Drosophila melanogaster: one gene and its partners. The protein of the gene in region 1 interacts with the protein of each later gene in a biochemical or structural test. Each region holds a gene or a part of one and is shown in the gene's direction. Other genes may lie near its edges.

Evidence for each region.
Region 2: the proteins of Smyd4-2 (region 1) and HDAC3 form a complex in vitro, tested with the Drosophila melanogaster proteins (one study listed by BioGRID).
Region 3: the proteins of Smyd4-2 (region 1) and ebi form a complex in vitro, tested with the Drosophila melanogaster proteins (one study listed by BioGRID).

Annotation. Positions count from the first base shown.
Region 1 is NT_037436.4:12,399,021-12,403,852, reverse strand, and holds Smyd4-2 (SET and MYND domain containing, class 4, member 2), read left to right. Parts: upstream 1-1,917; 5' UTR 1,918-2,032; coding exon 2,033-2,603; intron 2,604-2,661; coding exon 2,662-3,004; intron 3,005-3,064; coding exon 3,065-3,601; intron 3,602-3,660; coding exon 3,661-3,882; intron 3,883-3,937; coding exon 3,938-4,256; 3' UTR 4,257-4,314; downstream 4,315-4,832. Other genes in the region: CG32104 (uncharacterized protein), read left to right, coding at 4,586-4,712, 4,786-4,832.
Region 2 is NT_033777.3:5,472,270-5,476,418, reverse strand, and holds HDAC3 (histone deacetylase 3), read left to right. Parts: upstream 1-1,818; 5' UTR 1,819-1,929; coding exon of another isoform or gene 1,930-2,046; 5' UTR 2,047-2,095; coding exon 2,096-2,253; intron 2,254-2,315; coding exon 2,316-2,404; intron 2,405-2,473; coding exon 2,474-3,543; 3' UTR 3,544-3,609; downstream 3,610-4,149. Other genes in the region: Hcs (holocarboxylase synthetase), read right to left, coding at 1-113, 619-956, 1,018-1,159; CG45100 (uncharacterized protein), read left to right, coding at 1,930-2,046; Snr1 (Snf5-related 1), read right to left, coding at 3,754-4,149.
Region 3 is NT_033779.5:413,470-419,152, forward strand, and holds ebi (ebi), read left to right. Parts: upstream 1-1,597; 5' UTR 1,598-1,919; coding exon 1,920-1,977; intron 1,978-2,042; coding exon 2,043-3,241; intron 3,242-3,319; coding exon 3,320-4,165; 3' UTR 4,166-5,067; downstream 5,068-5,683. Other genes in the region: CG13690 (uncharacterized protein), read right to left, coding at 5,088-5,683.

The DNA of each region.
Region 1 (4,832 bases):
ATGAGACAGTCTCGTGCTGCTTCTTTCCTTAAGTGTAAAGCAGGCCTCTTCCACGTTCTGGGTTATCCGTTTTAAGTTTTTATAGTTGAATTAGTTTTTGGTTATTTTCTTAAAATATAAAATAAGTGATACTATGGCTAATTTATTTATAAACCAAACGCAAAGGAGAAAATGCAACATTTTGCCGTGTGCTAATCCCAAAACATTTCTTAGGCCAACAATCCTGCGACCTACAAGTAGGTTTAGGCCACTCTATCTCTTAAGAGCTAATTTATTTACAATTGTACGTAGGCTACGACCTTTGTTGAGGGCCATCGCTCTTAGTGAACTGCTAAAAACACACATACCAAAAAAAAAAAAGAAAAAAACGAAACCGGCTTCGAAGAGTTTCACGGGTTTTTAGTTCGTCCCATCCGACTGCTTTCGAAAGCGAATTAGCTTAGCATAAATCAGAGTGAGCCAGGCAGGCGGATTGCGAGTGGGAATCAGGTATCTGAAATCGAGGGATAGACGGATGGATACGGATACTCGGCAGCGTTTAAGCTTAAACACAAAAGACATTAAAACTACGATGTACTCGTTTTTGCTTAGATTAATCGATTACACAAAAAAATGAGAAACACTTAACGTTTACAATGTGATGATAATAGTTTATAATATACACATATAAATACATATAACTATACCTATACCTACTAAAATACCGACTTGTAAGCTTCAAATAGCTGTCGCAGTCTCTTGAGCAAGTTCGGCGGCGAGGCTGAAGAAAACTTTGTAGCATTTTATTTGTTAAGTTTAGTAACACTTCCTCTTAGATCGTATTGCAATTGAAGCCAACGAGATTAATTGTGACGAAAGCTAACAAACAAAACAAAACCAACACAATACCCATACACCATGTAATTTATTTGATATATCATGTGAATCTGAAGCCGATCGCAAAACCGACCAATCATAAGTTCAATCCTATTTTATATACACACTGTAATGGTTTTGAATTTAAAAGCATATGTATAATTTGTACCCTACTCTTAATTAGCCAAATTGAATTTTGTACGACTGTAGTGAAAATAATGACTTTTTAAATATGATTTATCACTGTCCCAAAAAACAAAAAAAAAAAACGCTTTACCACAGCACCGCATTTTTAAGAAGTCAAACACACTTGAATCATTTGACTTGATCATTAAAAATCACCCAATCATTATTCGAGTAAATAAATACAAAGATTATAATGAAATCTACGCAAAATTTGTTTATAATTTATTAGTCTTTTGTTTTTACTTCTACAGGATTTTCGTATGTAGTTTGAGATCATTTTAAGTTTGTTGTCCTCTGCATTTTGACATTATGGCGAACCAAAATTAATGAGTGTCACGCAAAAATGTTACACAAAATATACTCTTCTACTTACTTAAGGTCTTTCCAAGATGATAAACTGATAAACAATGGTTGACAAAGTCTATCTAGTCCATGAGCAAATCTAAATATTAACGAGAGTTTGAAATCAACTTGCGTATTTTCCACGCGATGAAAATACACTTAACATTTAATTACGAATATATATATAACTACAAATACTCTGATATACATATTGTTATATTTTTGTACGTTTAGCTAATTTTTAAATAAATTATTTAATGTGATTTATAAGCCCGATTCCAGTTACAAATAAAATGCGAATTATTACAACTGATCGCTTGCATTTTAAGTGGATATAAAGTTAATTGAGCATAAACATCCAAATAGTGTCAAAGTCGAAACCATGTAAATATTTCTATTTATTTCGAAAATAAATAATATCCTCAAAGAAGTATCGAACGTGAACCAGTACTAGTTCGGAACTCAATACCGCATATTTATAATGCGCCGCCGAACTGAAAGATCGGTGCTATTTTTGGAGTATAGGAACGTCCGCCAGCTGTTTCCAATACTCAGCGGCCGTGTGGTGATCAGAAAACGCGGACAAGTCCCACTTTTTCAGCCGTTGCACCGAAAATCTGAATTAGATTTTACATAATTTTGAGTCCAAATGGAGTTCGACGCCACGTACCACGAGATCTGCTCCGCGCAGACGGTTCAGTCGGAGAGGAGGGGATTCTTCAACGAATTTTGCGTGGACGTGCGTGATGCATGTGGCGACAAGTGGCTGCGCAACTACTTTGGCAAACTGAAGTCCAATGCAGCCCGAGTTCTGTCCATTTTCAGCGATCGCGAGGTGTGCGATCCTGTGCTGGGTGTCCTGGAGCATGTACAGCCGGTGTTCAAGCAGAAGGATGCCCTCTTCTCGGCCCAGCGACGTGCACAGGCGGATAAGCTCTACCTGATGAGCGGCAGTGGCGACGGCGAGGAGAGCAGGGAGCTGCTGCAGCAGGCTCTAATGGCCGCCAATCTGGCCGTGATGCGGGCTCCCGACCGCAATGCAGATCCTGTCCTCGATGAGGGCCTCACCTTGGCATTGGCCTACAGATCGAGGGCTTCCATATTGATCCGCTTGGGCGAGGGGGAGGCAGCATTGAATGACCTCAAGCTGGCCATCAACTTTGGACTGGAGCTCAAGTCCAGTGTGGATTACTACTTAAAGATGGCCAAAGCCTATGCAGGTGGGTCAGCCGGGAGCAACCGATGGTATCATGCTTATGGAAATCCTTTTATTTTCAGTCATGGGAGAACCTGCCCGCGCTGAGATCTCATTGAAGATAGCCGAGAAAATGCCTGGCTGTGATGCCACCCACATCGCACTGTGCCGCAAGGAACTATCATCAGTAAAGCCGAAACCCAAGGAAGCCACCTCGGAACAGGTGCCACAACTGGCACATGGCGAGAGTGCCGAACTAGTTGGTGCGTCCAAGGTGGTGAGGCTGGTGGAGACCAAGGACAAGGGTCGTTTTGTGGTGGCCAACGAGGGTCTGAGAACCGGCGACGTTCTGCTCTTCGAGGAGCCAGTGGCCGCCTGTTTGGAGCCCAGTTACTTTGGCACTCATTGTCATCATTGCTTCAAGAGGTAAGGGATTAATAATGTGAAGTCAGCTGTCAAGCTGTCAAAGAATCCCATTAATTGCAGGCTGCACACTCCCGTTTCCTGTCTCCACTGCTCGGGAATCGCCTTCTGCTCCGCCCAGTGCATGGGCGAGGCCTGCTCCAGTTACCATCGCTTCGAGTGCGAGTATATGGACTTGATGATCGGTTCTGGCATGTCCATCCTGTGCTTCATCGCGCTGCGCATCTTCACACAGGCGCCCAGCTTGGAGCAGGGCTTGGCCACCGCCAATCTGCTCTTCGAGCACTTGTGCTCCCACGAGGAGGACCGCCAGCCGGACGACTACTTGCGGCGAGCTCTGATGTCTGGCTTCCTGTTGCGCATTCTACAGAAGTCGCTGTACTTCGGACGTCGCAAAACTGAGGGAGTGAATCCAACTGCGGTGGAGCTGCAGGTGGCCACCGCTTTGCTGGGCCTGCTGCAGGTGCTCCAGTACAATGCCCACCAGATCTATCAAACCCAAGTGACCGAGGAGCATCGCTTCGACGGCAGTAAGACGGTGTATCTGGCCGCAGGACTTTATGGTACTGGTTCCTACTTCAATCACGAGTGCTGGCCCAGGTGAGTTGTATTATCTTGAATATTATAGAGATCATTAAGGATTCGTCTTATAATTTAAGCACCGCTTGTCATTTTGTTGGCAAGAAGCTGGTCCTCACAGCCACCAGGCCGCATCGTGCCAATGAATTGGTGGCCGTGAACTACGGACCCATTTTCATCAAAAACAACTTGAAGGAGAGACAGCGATCTCTGCGAGGACGCTACTCCTTCAGCTGCAGCTGCATGGCCTGCCAGGAGAACTGGCCACTGCTCCAGAAACTGGACAAGCAAGTGCGATTCTGGTGGGTACTAGCCTCGCTATCAATCGATATACTATAATATCTTTCATTATTAAAGGTGCACCTCAGCCAACTGCTCTAATTTGCTCAAGTTCCCCAAGGATTTGGCAAAGGATGTGCGTTGTCCTCGCTGCCGCAAGAACATCTCACTCAAGGAGAGCGTAGCCAAGATGATCAAGATCGAGGAGCTGTATCGAGAGGCTGCGCGAGCCATGGAGGCCCAGAAAACCGTGGAGGCCATAGAACTTTTCAAGGAGTCGCTCGATATGTTCTTCCAAGTGGCTGCACTGCCTCACAAGGACACCATAGTGGCGCAGCAGTCGCTGCATAAGTGTTTGTCCGATACGGGAACCACATTTAAAAAGGAAGGGAAATGAACGAAAAACTAGTTAATGGCGTGTGCACTTGTATTATTAAATCGTTTTTTTCTACTTGAATGCAAATTAAATTTCATTTTAATGATGTAGGTGTAAATGGTGTACATGCAATTTTTTTAAATTGCCCGCCTTCCTCATTACTGAAATCTAATTGGAAACTTTACTGGGAATTTTACAATTGAAATGTTTTCGCAATAACATAGCTCTGTAAATGCTGCCCTGTTAAGTGTCTGTTAATGGAAACGAATGTTGGTGGTATTTTCTAAAGGTACGGCCACACTGCAGCCGACTTGTTTTGAAATCTATTTGGTTTTGTTTTTCCGGCTAAAATGTTTAAAAAACTTAAGCCAGGTGAAAGTGAGGAGGATGTCCTGCGAATGGCAGCAGAGTTCAATGCAGAGAGAGCGAAGGATCCCAATTTCCAGCCTGCAGCGGCTTTTGTGCGTATGGATAAAGGTGCGGCCAGATTCCCTCTGCTTACCAAATATTTATTAAATACATTTATTGTTGAATTTTTTCACAAATGCAGCTCCTAAAAAGTCCATGTTTGCGCAAAGACGGGAGCAGGCAAAATTG
Region 2 (4,149 bases), on another chromosome or scaffold:
TTTCTCAAGAAAGTCGTTATCAAAAGTTTCGTGAAGTGCTCGACGTCTGTTTCGATGAGCACCGCCAGGTGGGAATCTATTTTCCAAGCAATTAGCTTACCGTAATCTTCCAGCTGATTCATGGGCCGCCGACATGCAAGAAGAAGAAAGGACACACGAGAGGATACCCCTAGTTAGTGTAGTCGTATGTATGTATGTATGACGCCAGCGCTCTAATCGATTCAACCATGTACATCTTAATAAGATTACCGCACGCAACACCGTCCACATTGCGGCGTCACCCGAAGGTCGATTGTCCCTATCTGTTCTCATTATGATGATACAAAGTGGGCTAACTTTAATTACGGTAGCATTCTTAAGATACTTTGGAGTAATATTCGTAGTCCCCCTTTAATGGTGAATTCCAAACTATGTAGTTAAAAGTCCATTAAAAAGCTATTCCTACATCCTGAAGTCTTTGAACTATTCTGTTGCAAATAAACATGTATAAACATGTATTTGTGGACTCCGAATTGTGGCAATTAAACATTTATAACTTGAATTTGCTTAAGCCTTACTGTTTTTTATTGATGGATTTGGAGATTAAAAAAAACGCAACACGCCGTCGGGTTAACTTACCCGTACTGCTGATGTGTCCTCGGAGCTGGGCCGCTGTAGTGGCTCTATGTCGGCCTCAAGGAGCAGCTGCATCCGCTCCTCCCCTTGGGCAGAGAGCGAAACCCGTTGTTGGCGCGGGACGTCCGCCTCCGTGGGCGTGGACGCCGGCGTTAACGTGTCGGCGGCATAGGAGAAGGGAAGCAGACTGGGCGCCGGCGGAAAGCTGATCCAAGGCGTGATGTGTAGCGTTTGCAGCGGACGCAGGCAGCAACCCCGCTGGTTGGCGTGCAGCCACAGGATGTCCGTGACCTTGGCCGCGTTCCGATTGCAGCACAACTCCGAGCTGGCCAGGGCGGGATCTGTGGAGGAAGCAGGCAGTCTATATAAGCGTGAACGCCTTCCAATGACGCCGCCACTTACCGAATCCGTCATCGCTGCCCGATTGGAGGGTATAGAAGGCGATGCTCGAGGGCTGCGCGAGGTGCTCGGCGATCTTGGAGCACGCCTTTTGAATGCGCCAGGACTGCAGGACGGTGGCACTCACGTAATACAGGGTCAACATCGCAGATTTCTGGTGGGTACTGCTTCCTCCGCGGACTCAAAGTTTTTTGGGGACTAATTCAGAAGCCGGGGCACAACTTACATATTGATGGGAACCAAAATCAATGGCGGTTTCGTAATTGGCTCCGATTTTGCTCGGCTGGCGGATTTATCGGTTGCCCAAAGGAGCGCTTCCTGATTCGCCGTTTTTAGCCAGTTGACACACTTTCTGCATTCCCTTGTCCACTGACTTTTATTGTTGATTACTGCATTCTCCAATTCCAATACTCCAATACGCGTATTCCAATATTCCAATATTCTCTATCACGAAAATTAGCGCGAGCAGAGTCGAATTAGAAAATCAAAATAGAAGATAAACTAACTGGACAGTGCTGCCGGCCCGGCGGCTTTCGGTCATATCTGGCGGGTTTTTTTTTTGGCAAGCGTACGTTCGTGTATTTATTTCATTTAATACATTAGGCTTAAAAATAAACCTAAATGAAAACTAAAAGACACACGTATATTTTACAACATCTAGCCTTCCTTACATCGACCAAAAATAAAATAAAACCACATGCACAGAGAGACTTGTGAATTGAGCAGAACAAAAATTATAGCATCACCATAGGGATGCTCTCGTGACGTGACTGTGCGTTTGTACATCACTAGCTATGTCCATTTTTAGTACACTATCGGCGCACGCCGCTTTAAGTTGTCTTCAATTGGCAATAAGTTAGCAAATTGATATCTCACGATTAAACAAAGGTACCCAAAGGTGACCACGGGAGCGGCATGCTGTTGGGCGAATACGACACAACCCGGCGACTCCTTTTCATCGTGGCCGTTCTGCTGATTGTCCTGTATGCGAAGACGTACCTGCTGCCCGGCGAGGATTTGGTCCACAACTAGGGGACTACGGCGTCCCTGCAATAACCGATCCAATTGAGAAGTTGGCGCGATGACGGACCGTAGGGTGTCGTACTTCTACAACGCGGACGTGGGCAACTTCCACTATGGAGCCGGGCATCCCATGAAGCCGCAACGCCTGGCGGTCACTCACAGCCTGGTAATGAACTACGGACTGCACAAGAAAATGAAGATCTACAGGCCGTACAAGTGAGTTGGCGGAGAGGTGTGTCTGTGCCGCGTAAATTATACTAATCCGGAATTCTTTGCAGGGCCAGTGCGCAGGACATGCTCCGCTTCCACAGCGACGAGTACATCGCCTACTTACAGCAGGTGACTCCACAAAACATTCAGTGCAATTGTGAGTTGAAGAGGAAGTCGCCCAATTGGAATAACATTTAGAATAATCTGATAATTTTCTGTTCTTAAGCCGTGGCCTATACGAAGTACCTGGCGCACTTCAGCGTAGGCGAGGACTGTCCCGTGTTCGATGGCCTCTTCGACTTCTGTGCAATGTACACGGGTGCCTCGCTGGAGGGAGCCCAGAAGCTGAACCACAACCACAGCGACATATGCATAAACTGGTCGGGCGGACTGCATCACGCCAAGAAGTTCGAGGCAAGCGGATTCTGCTACGTGAATGACATCGTCATCGGCATTCTGGAGCTGCTTAAGTACCATCCTCGGGTGCTCTACATCGACATCGATGTGCACCACGGCGACGGGGTGCAGGAGGCGTTCTACCTTACGGACCGAGTGATGACGGCTTCGTTCCACAAATACGGAAACTACTTTTTTCCCGGCACGGGAGACATGTACGAGATAGGCGCCGAATCGGGACGATACTACAGCGTTAATGTGCCGCTAAAGGAGGGCATTGATGACCAGAGCTATTTTCAGGTGTTCAAACCCATAATTTCTGCCATTATGGACTTCTACCGGCCCACGGCTATCGTTTTGCAGTGTGGCGCGGATTCACTAGCTGGAGATCGACTAGGTTGCTTCTCCCTGAGCACCAAGGGACATGGTGAGTGTGTCAAATTTGTGAAGGAACTGAACGTACCCACATTGGTGGTCGGAGGCGGTGGCTACACCTTACGGAACGTGGCCCGCTGCTGGACGCACGAGACCTCGCTGCTGGTGGACCAAGACATTGAAAATGACCTACCCGCCACCGAGTATTACGACTTTTTCGCCCCCGACTTTACACTCCATCCAGAGATTAACTCACGCCAAGATAATGCTAACTCAAAGCAGTATCTTGAACTCATCGTTAAGCATGTGTATGAAAACCTTAAGATGTGCCAGCACTCGCCCAGCGTCCAAATGGTGCAGACCCCGCCTGATGTGGACTTGGAGGAGCTGCGCAGCAACCGGGAGGAGGCGAGTGATCCCGACGTGCGAATATCCGTAGCCGATGAGGACAAGCTGGTTGATGCTAAGAACGAGTTCTACGACGGCGATCAGGACCAAGACAAGCCCGATTCGGCAGAAAGTTAGTATTGGATAATGTAGAATAAGGATTCGAGTTTAGCGTAAGCAGTAAAGAGTATCAGCTTATTTTGTAACATCGTTTGGAACTATTTTTTTTGGAAGTAGCGCGTAGAAGACAATAGGTTTTAAAATCGACAGACACACATTTATTTGGGATGCATAATGGTACTTAATAGGAGGATTACATTAGTGACACATTGCTGGATCGGCGGAAGATCACCAACCAGTTGTGGTATTGGCCAGTCGTCGCATTCTGCGCGTGTTGCGGTCCTGGTCGCGGATTTTCTTCTCCATTTCGGCGTCGGTAAGCGTCTCTAGGAATGGCGCCCATGCGTCAGCGTCGCTGGGATTCCGGAAGGGCACATCAATCGTTGATAGAGGGGCCTCGCTGAAGGCGTACGTTCGACAGTGCCACGATAGCTGACCCCTAATGCTGTAGGCAATGGCCGTAACAAACTCTCCTCCCAATCCCAATTCCGCACAGAGTTTAATGGCAAACTCCTCGGGGTTGTTGTTCTTCTCGGACATGTCCCACTCGACCTGGTCGACGAGCGAGGTGTTGCCCACGTGAATGTTCAGCTTAACAATGACCCGCTGGTCGCAGGTCTCCTC
Region 3 (5,683 bases), on another chromosome or scaffold:
TTGTTAATTTTCGCTGGTTTTATGCAAACTGGGGGCGCAAGAAAATCGTCAATGGATGGCGGCCGAGTCTCGAGGCGTTCTTATCGCTCGAACTCGACGTCGGACCCTAAGATATATAGTTGCTCTCCGCTCTGGTTCTGCAAAGCTCTTTTTACTTCGATTGGATCTCGGCCGTTCCTTGGGACCTGAAAGGGGAAACGATACTCTATTTATTGTGGGTTGTGGGAATGGGAAAACTTAGTATTATGATTACGTTTTAGTATTTGTGTTAACAAACGTATATTATTCAAACAAAAGGTATTTTGGATAACAATTTGTATTTAGCCAGGGAGTAGCTTATTGTGCATGCCAACACATTGATACAGCTTCTATTTTGAAAGTCCGTATTGCAGTTTTACTTTTGATAACGAAAACGCCACAAAATATGTATGCACCACACATTTCACTGAGCATCAAGCGCTGATAACGATTTATATGTATAAAAAATCCAATGTTTAATAAACTCAGAACTTTTAAACGGTAAATAGTGGACTACGTGATTGATTTTCCGGCCAGTGCACCCAATGGCTGGCGAACTTTGACATTTTCTGGTGGAAGTAGAGTGTACCCCCGCATTTTTGGCAACCGATTTATTTTCAACTTGGCAGCGTTTTGCCCGTTGATAAAGATTCTGTGACCTCGCTCGCCCACTTTTTATCGCCTGGCGAAGTCGATGTGCACTTGGGCATTATTATTTGGATTTGCGCGACCACCGGCTTTTGTTTCTGTAGTATACTTTTTACTTTGCTTTCCGTTTCGTTTTATTTTCTGTTTTTCACTGCGCTCTTCGGTTCTCTTCTTTCTTTGCTTTCATGTCACGTCACTTTTTTCACCGCTGGATGACGAGGGCGTTTTGCCCAAAAAAAAAAGCACCGAAGAAGCCTCCAAAAACATTAATGGGCGTATGTTAGCTGTTCTTTTTTTTTGAGCTTACTTTTCCGATTTTTTTTACTCGCCAGCGGACAAAATCGGTTAGCGTTGCGGAATTTCTGTGGCGGAGCAGAGAGAGTAATCTCTGACTTCTGAAGTTGGCTTCGCTTGGAATCGGAATCCGGGGTGTTGGCTGCGGAATGTTTGACCCTGCGTGTTGCACTTTATGGAACTCCAACTCGCTGGAGCTTCGCCTCGCTGATTTGCCGCTAATTTGTTTGTTAACTATTACCAAGTGCAGGGCAATTCACTAAAATGAAAATTTCTATTGATTTTTCTTCGCTCTCGCTGCCTAAGAGTGGAGCCATCTAGCGGGCGCGGGTGGAACGATTGGTGTGACCAGTAGAGCGTTGGGTTGAAATACAATGATTACTTCGAGGGATGGGTACACAGGGATGGACGAAGAGAGACGACAATTCGCTTTAAGAATTTTTTACCTTTTGCTCCAAGCAGAAATCCAAAAATATCTTCTTAATTGTTTTTATGGCTAATAAATTTCCGTTCTATCCTTTAAGGTAACGCTTGGTGCAATACAAAAATATGACTCAAATTTGATTAAGTTGTTGTCAAAACTTGTGACGTCACAAAACACAAGGCTGCGCAACCTCTCGCAGCGCACACCTTGAGATTACTCCGCCATTTTTTTGCGCGTTTCAGAAACGCGTTTTCGATCCCTCGGTTTTATTTGTGGAAAAAATATGTGAAGTGCTCTTGCGGCAAGCAGCAAACTGGCAGAATTGAAAACACAGGACCGACCAGATCGATCCAAGTACCAGGAGTAGCACCGGATACCGTGGCTTGCGCCGAAGTGATAAGCGTGCCGAATGCAGACGCATGTGTTACGCAGCACAGTTCCGATTTTCGCACCGTAAAAACATAATTGGCATTGGAGATAGGAGTGGATTTTGGAGTGCGCTAGTAGTAGGAGAAGGAGCCAACCGCGTTCCGTCATGAGTTTTTCCAGCGACGAGGTGAACTTTCTGGTTTACCGATACCTGCAGGAGTCGGGTGAGTAAAACCCTCCAATCGCAAGATAACAGCCCGCCCTAATCTCATGCAATCCCGTTTTCTAGGCTTTCTGCACTCGGCCTACGTGTTTGGCATTGAGTCACACATCTCGCAAAGTAATATCAATGGCGCATTGGTTCCACCTGCCGCTTTGCTCACCATCCTGCAGAAGGGTCTTCTGTACACTGAAGTGGAGTGGAGCGTAGGCGAAGACGGCGAGGTGGCGCGACCCATTGAAGGACTCTCTCTAATAGACGCTGTCATGCCGGAGGTGAAGCCACTCAAGCCCATTGTGAAAACAGAGCCGGGAAAACCCGGGGCAGTCGACTCTTCTGCCCCTGCCGGTGGCAACCAGAACAACAATGCCAAGCCTGAGATAAAAATAGAACCGGGTACCGGAGTGGCGGGCTCAGCAGGTGGAAACAAAATTGCTGGCAGCACCACGGGCACAAGCACACCAACCGATCAGTCGGCAAGCGAGGTAGACTCCAGTGGAAATGCGGCAAATAATGCTGGCGGCACATACGCCGGAAACAATGGAGCTGGAGGGAACCAGGCCAGTACTGGAGGATCTAATAGCACAAGCACACCAGCTGGTGGAGATTTGGCAGCACCTGGGGCAAGTCAAAAGAAATCCCAGAACTCGAATGAAGCGGGAAGCTCATCTAGTGGCAATGCAGGCAATGCAAATGCTACCAGTACCGATGATGCAGCCTCCTCAACATCCACAAATGGCAATAGCAGCACTTCCAGCAGCGTAGAACAACCTACAAGCGGGCTGACGCCCGCTGGTGGAACTGTATCAACCTCCAATCCGGACGCAGCAGCATCGGGCGGAGCTTCGACTGCAACAGGATCAAAGGCGCCAAGTGGAGCGGTTACGATTCGCGTAGGAGCCCAAGGAAACAACGTGCAGTCTGGTTCGTCCAATGCTCAAAGCTCTGCTCCCAGTGGAACCATCTCCTCGTCTACCAGCGGAGGTGCTGGGACTCCCGCAGCTCTTGTTCCCATGGACATTGACGAGAACATCGAAATACCCGAATCCAAGGCTCGTGTATTACGCGGCCACGAAAGCGAGGTGTTTATCTGCGCATGGAATCCTAGCCGGGATTTACTGGCAAGCGGTTCGGGAGACAGCACTGCTAGGATATGGGACATGTCCGATGCAAACACTAACTCCAACCAGTTGGTGCTGCGCCACTGCATCCAGAAAGGCGGCGCTGAGGTGCCTAGCAACAAGGACGTCACCTCTCTGGACTGGAATGTAAGTCGAAGATCTTGGCACTTAAGCCTTGCAAAGTTTGATTTCTGATCCTTACTTAATCTATTCTCGTTTTTGCAGTGCGATGGTTCCTTGCTCGCCACCGGCAGCTACGATGGTTACGCCCGAATTTGGAAAACCGACGGTCGACTTGCTTCTACTTTGGGACAACACAAGGGTCCGATCTTTGCTCTGAAGTGGAACAAGTGCGGCAACTACATCCTCTCGGCTGGCGTGGACAAGACGACGATCATCTGGGACGCATCCACGGGCCAATGCACCCAGCAATTTGCCTTTCACAGTGCTCCAGCCTTGGATGTGGACTGGCAGACAAACCAGGCCTTTGCCTCTTGCAGTACGGATCAGCGGATACATGTGTGCCGGTTGGGTGTAAATGAACCCATCAAGACCTTTAAAGGACACACAAACGAGGTGAATGCAATCAAGTGGTGTCCGCAGGGCCAACTGCTGGCGTCCTGCTCTGATGACATGACCCTCAAGATCTGGAGCATGAACCGAGATCGTTGCTGCCACGATCTGCAGGCTCACTCAAAGGAGATCTATACGATAAAATGGTCGCCCACGGGGCCGGGAACCAATAATCCAAACACAAACCTGATCCTCGCATCCGCTTCGTTCGATTCCACGGTAAGACTGTGGGACGTGGAGAGGGGCAGCTGTATCCACACGCTCACCAAGCACACAGAGCCAGTCTATTCGGTGGCCTTCAGTCCGGATGGAAAGCATTTGGCCTCCGGCAGCTTCGACAAGTGCGTACACATTTGGAGCACGCAAACGGGACAGCTAGTGCACAGTTACAAGGGCACGGGCGGAATCTTTGAGGTGTGCTGGAACTCCAAGGGCACTAAGGTGGGTGCCAGTGCCTCCGACGGTAGCGTTTTCGTGTTGGACCTGCGAAAGTTCTGATTGCCGGAGCAGCCACAACTGGATTTCGTGTATTGAGCCAACGCTTAAAATAGTCAAGATTCCTTTTCCAGCTCATTATTTGGTAAAAATGAAATCGGTAGTTTTTCACTTTCTTACGGAACGAGAAGTTTTTACTTTTGATTCAAAAATTGCATTTAACTATATTTTTTAAAGAAGTGAAATATGATCAGTTACAATTCTACCAACATAAGTCGATTTGGATCTGGAGTCCGGACCTTAGGTAACTCCTTTCTTAGCTATCCCGCCCTGCAATCGTATTTGTAATTGCTTTAAATTCTAATTAGTTCTTTAAGGTATACCTCTTGAGATGAGATCCTCCCGCTTTTGTCCACGTCTATTTCGTACGCTTAGTTTCGAGTCACAAAATATCGATATGCACCTGGGATTTTTGGGGGCTTCAACATGGTTGTTGTTCTCTTCAGATCAGCGGGATGCGACTCGCCTCATTTTAATCTTAATCATAAGCTCCATGTTTCTAAGGTCGTCCCTTTTTATACGAAAATCGTTTAGTATAACTTTGCATTTTGTTATTGTATCGATCAAAGATGCCAGCCAACTCCCCGCCCTCCCCACCAAAAGTCCTTTACCCAATTCCACAGTTGTCCTCCAAAAAAGGGATGCCAAGAGATCAGATCAGACCGATTCACGCATACATTCAGAACAGTGTAACTGCAGTCCCACGTAGTCAGTAATCGAACGTAATTATTAAGAACACGAGATTGGCGGAAACACAAGAACATCAGCAAAAATACATTAAAGATAAAAATTAATCTGTTTTCGTTTTGGGCCTGGGTGTTTTTTGTATTTTAGCATTTTAAAATTTAATACTAAAGTACTTAAATTAAACTTTATTCTTTGTAAATATAGATACTCCTGAACTTAATTTTATTTTCATTTGTTGCTAAAACTCCATGACACTTTCCAGATGGCGTTGCTTAAAGAAGCGGCACTCCTCGCGAATTATTTCGCCGGATTTTGTTGTGCCCTTAAAGAACTTTGTGAGCTTGGTGCCGGCGTACTTGGGCTTCTCGGAATCCGGCTCGTCGAACTCCATGTCATAGGCCTTGTCCGCCAGTGCGTTTTCCGCGGTGGACCAACTGAAGCGCACAAGTCGTGGAAATCCAAACACTAGATCGATGTACTCGGTCAGAAATCTTCTTGTGACCGGATCTCCCGGATATCCACTGCCGAACTCGTTGTCCTTAATGACCAAGCCCTCGGGGAAGCTCCACACCTTGAGGGCATGATCACGGGTAACTTTGGCGCATATACTAGCAGCAGAGACTATTGGATAGGTGGAGTCAGCTTTTTTCGCCACGGTGATTTTAAAGCTGGGGAAACGTTTGAGCAACTTCTCCTGGTACTTCTCCGGCGGACCCACCGTATCCACATAAACCTCGGCTATATTGACGCCCGCATCGATCGCCTGTTGGATAAGGCCCATGGCCGAGTCCATGGAAACTTCGTTCAGGGAGCACTTCGACCGCCGGTACATGC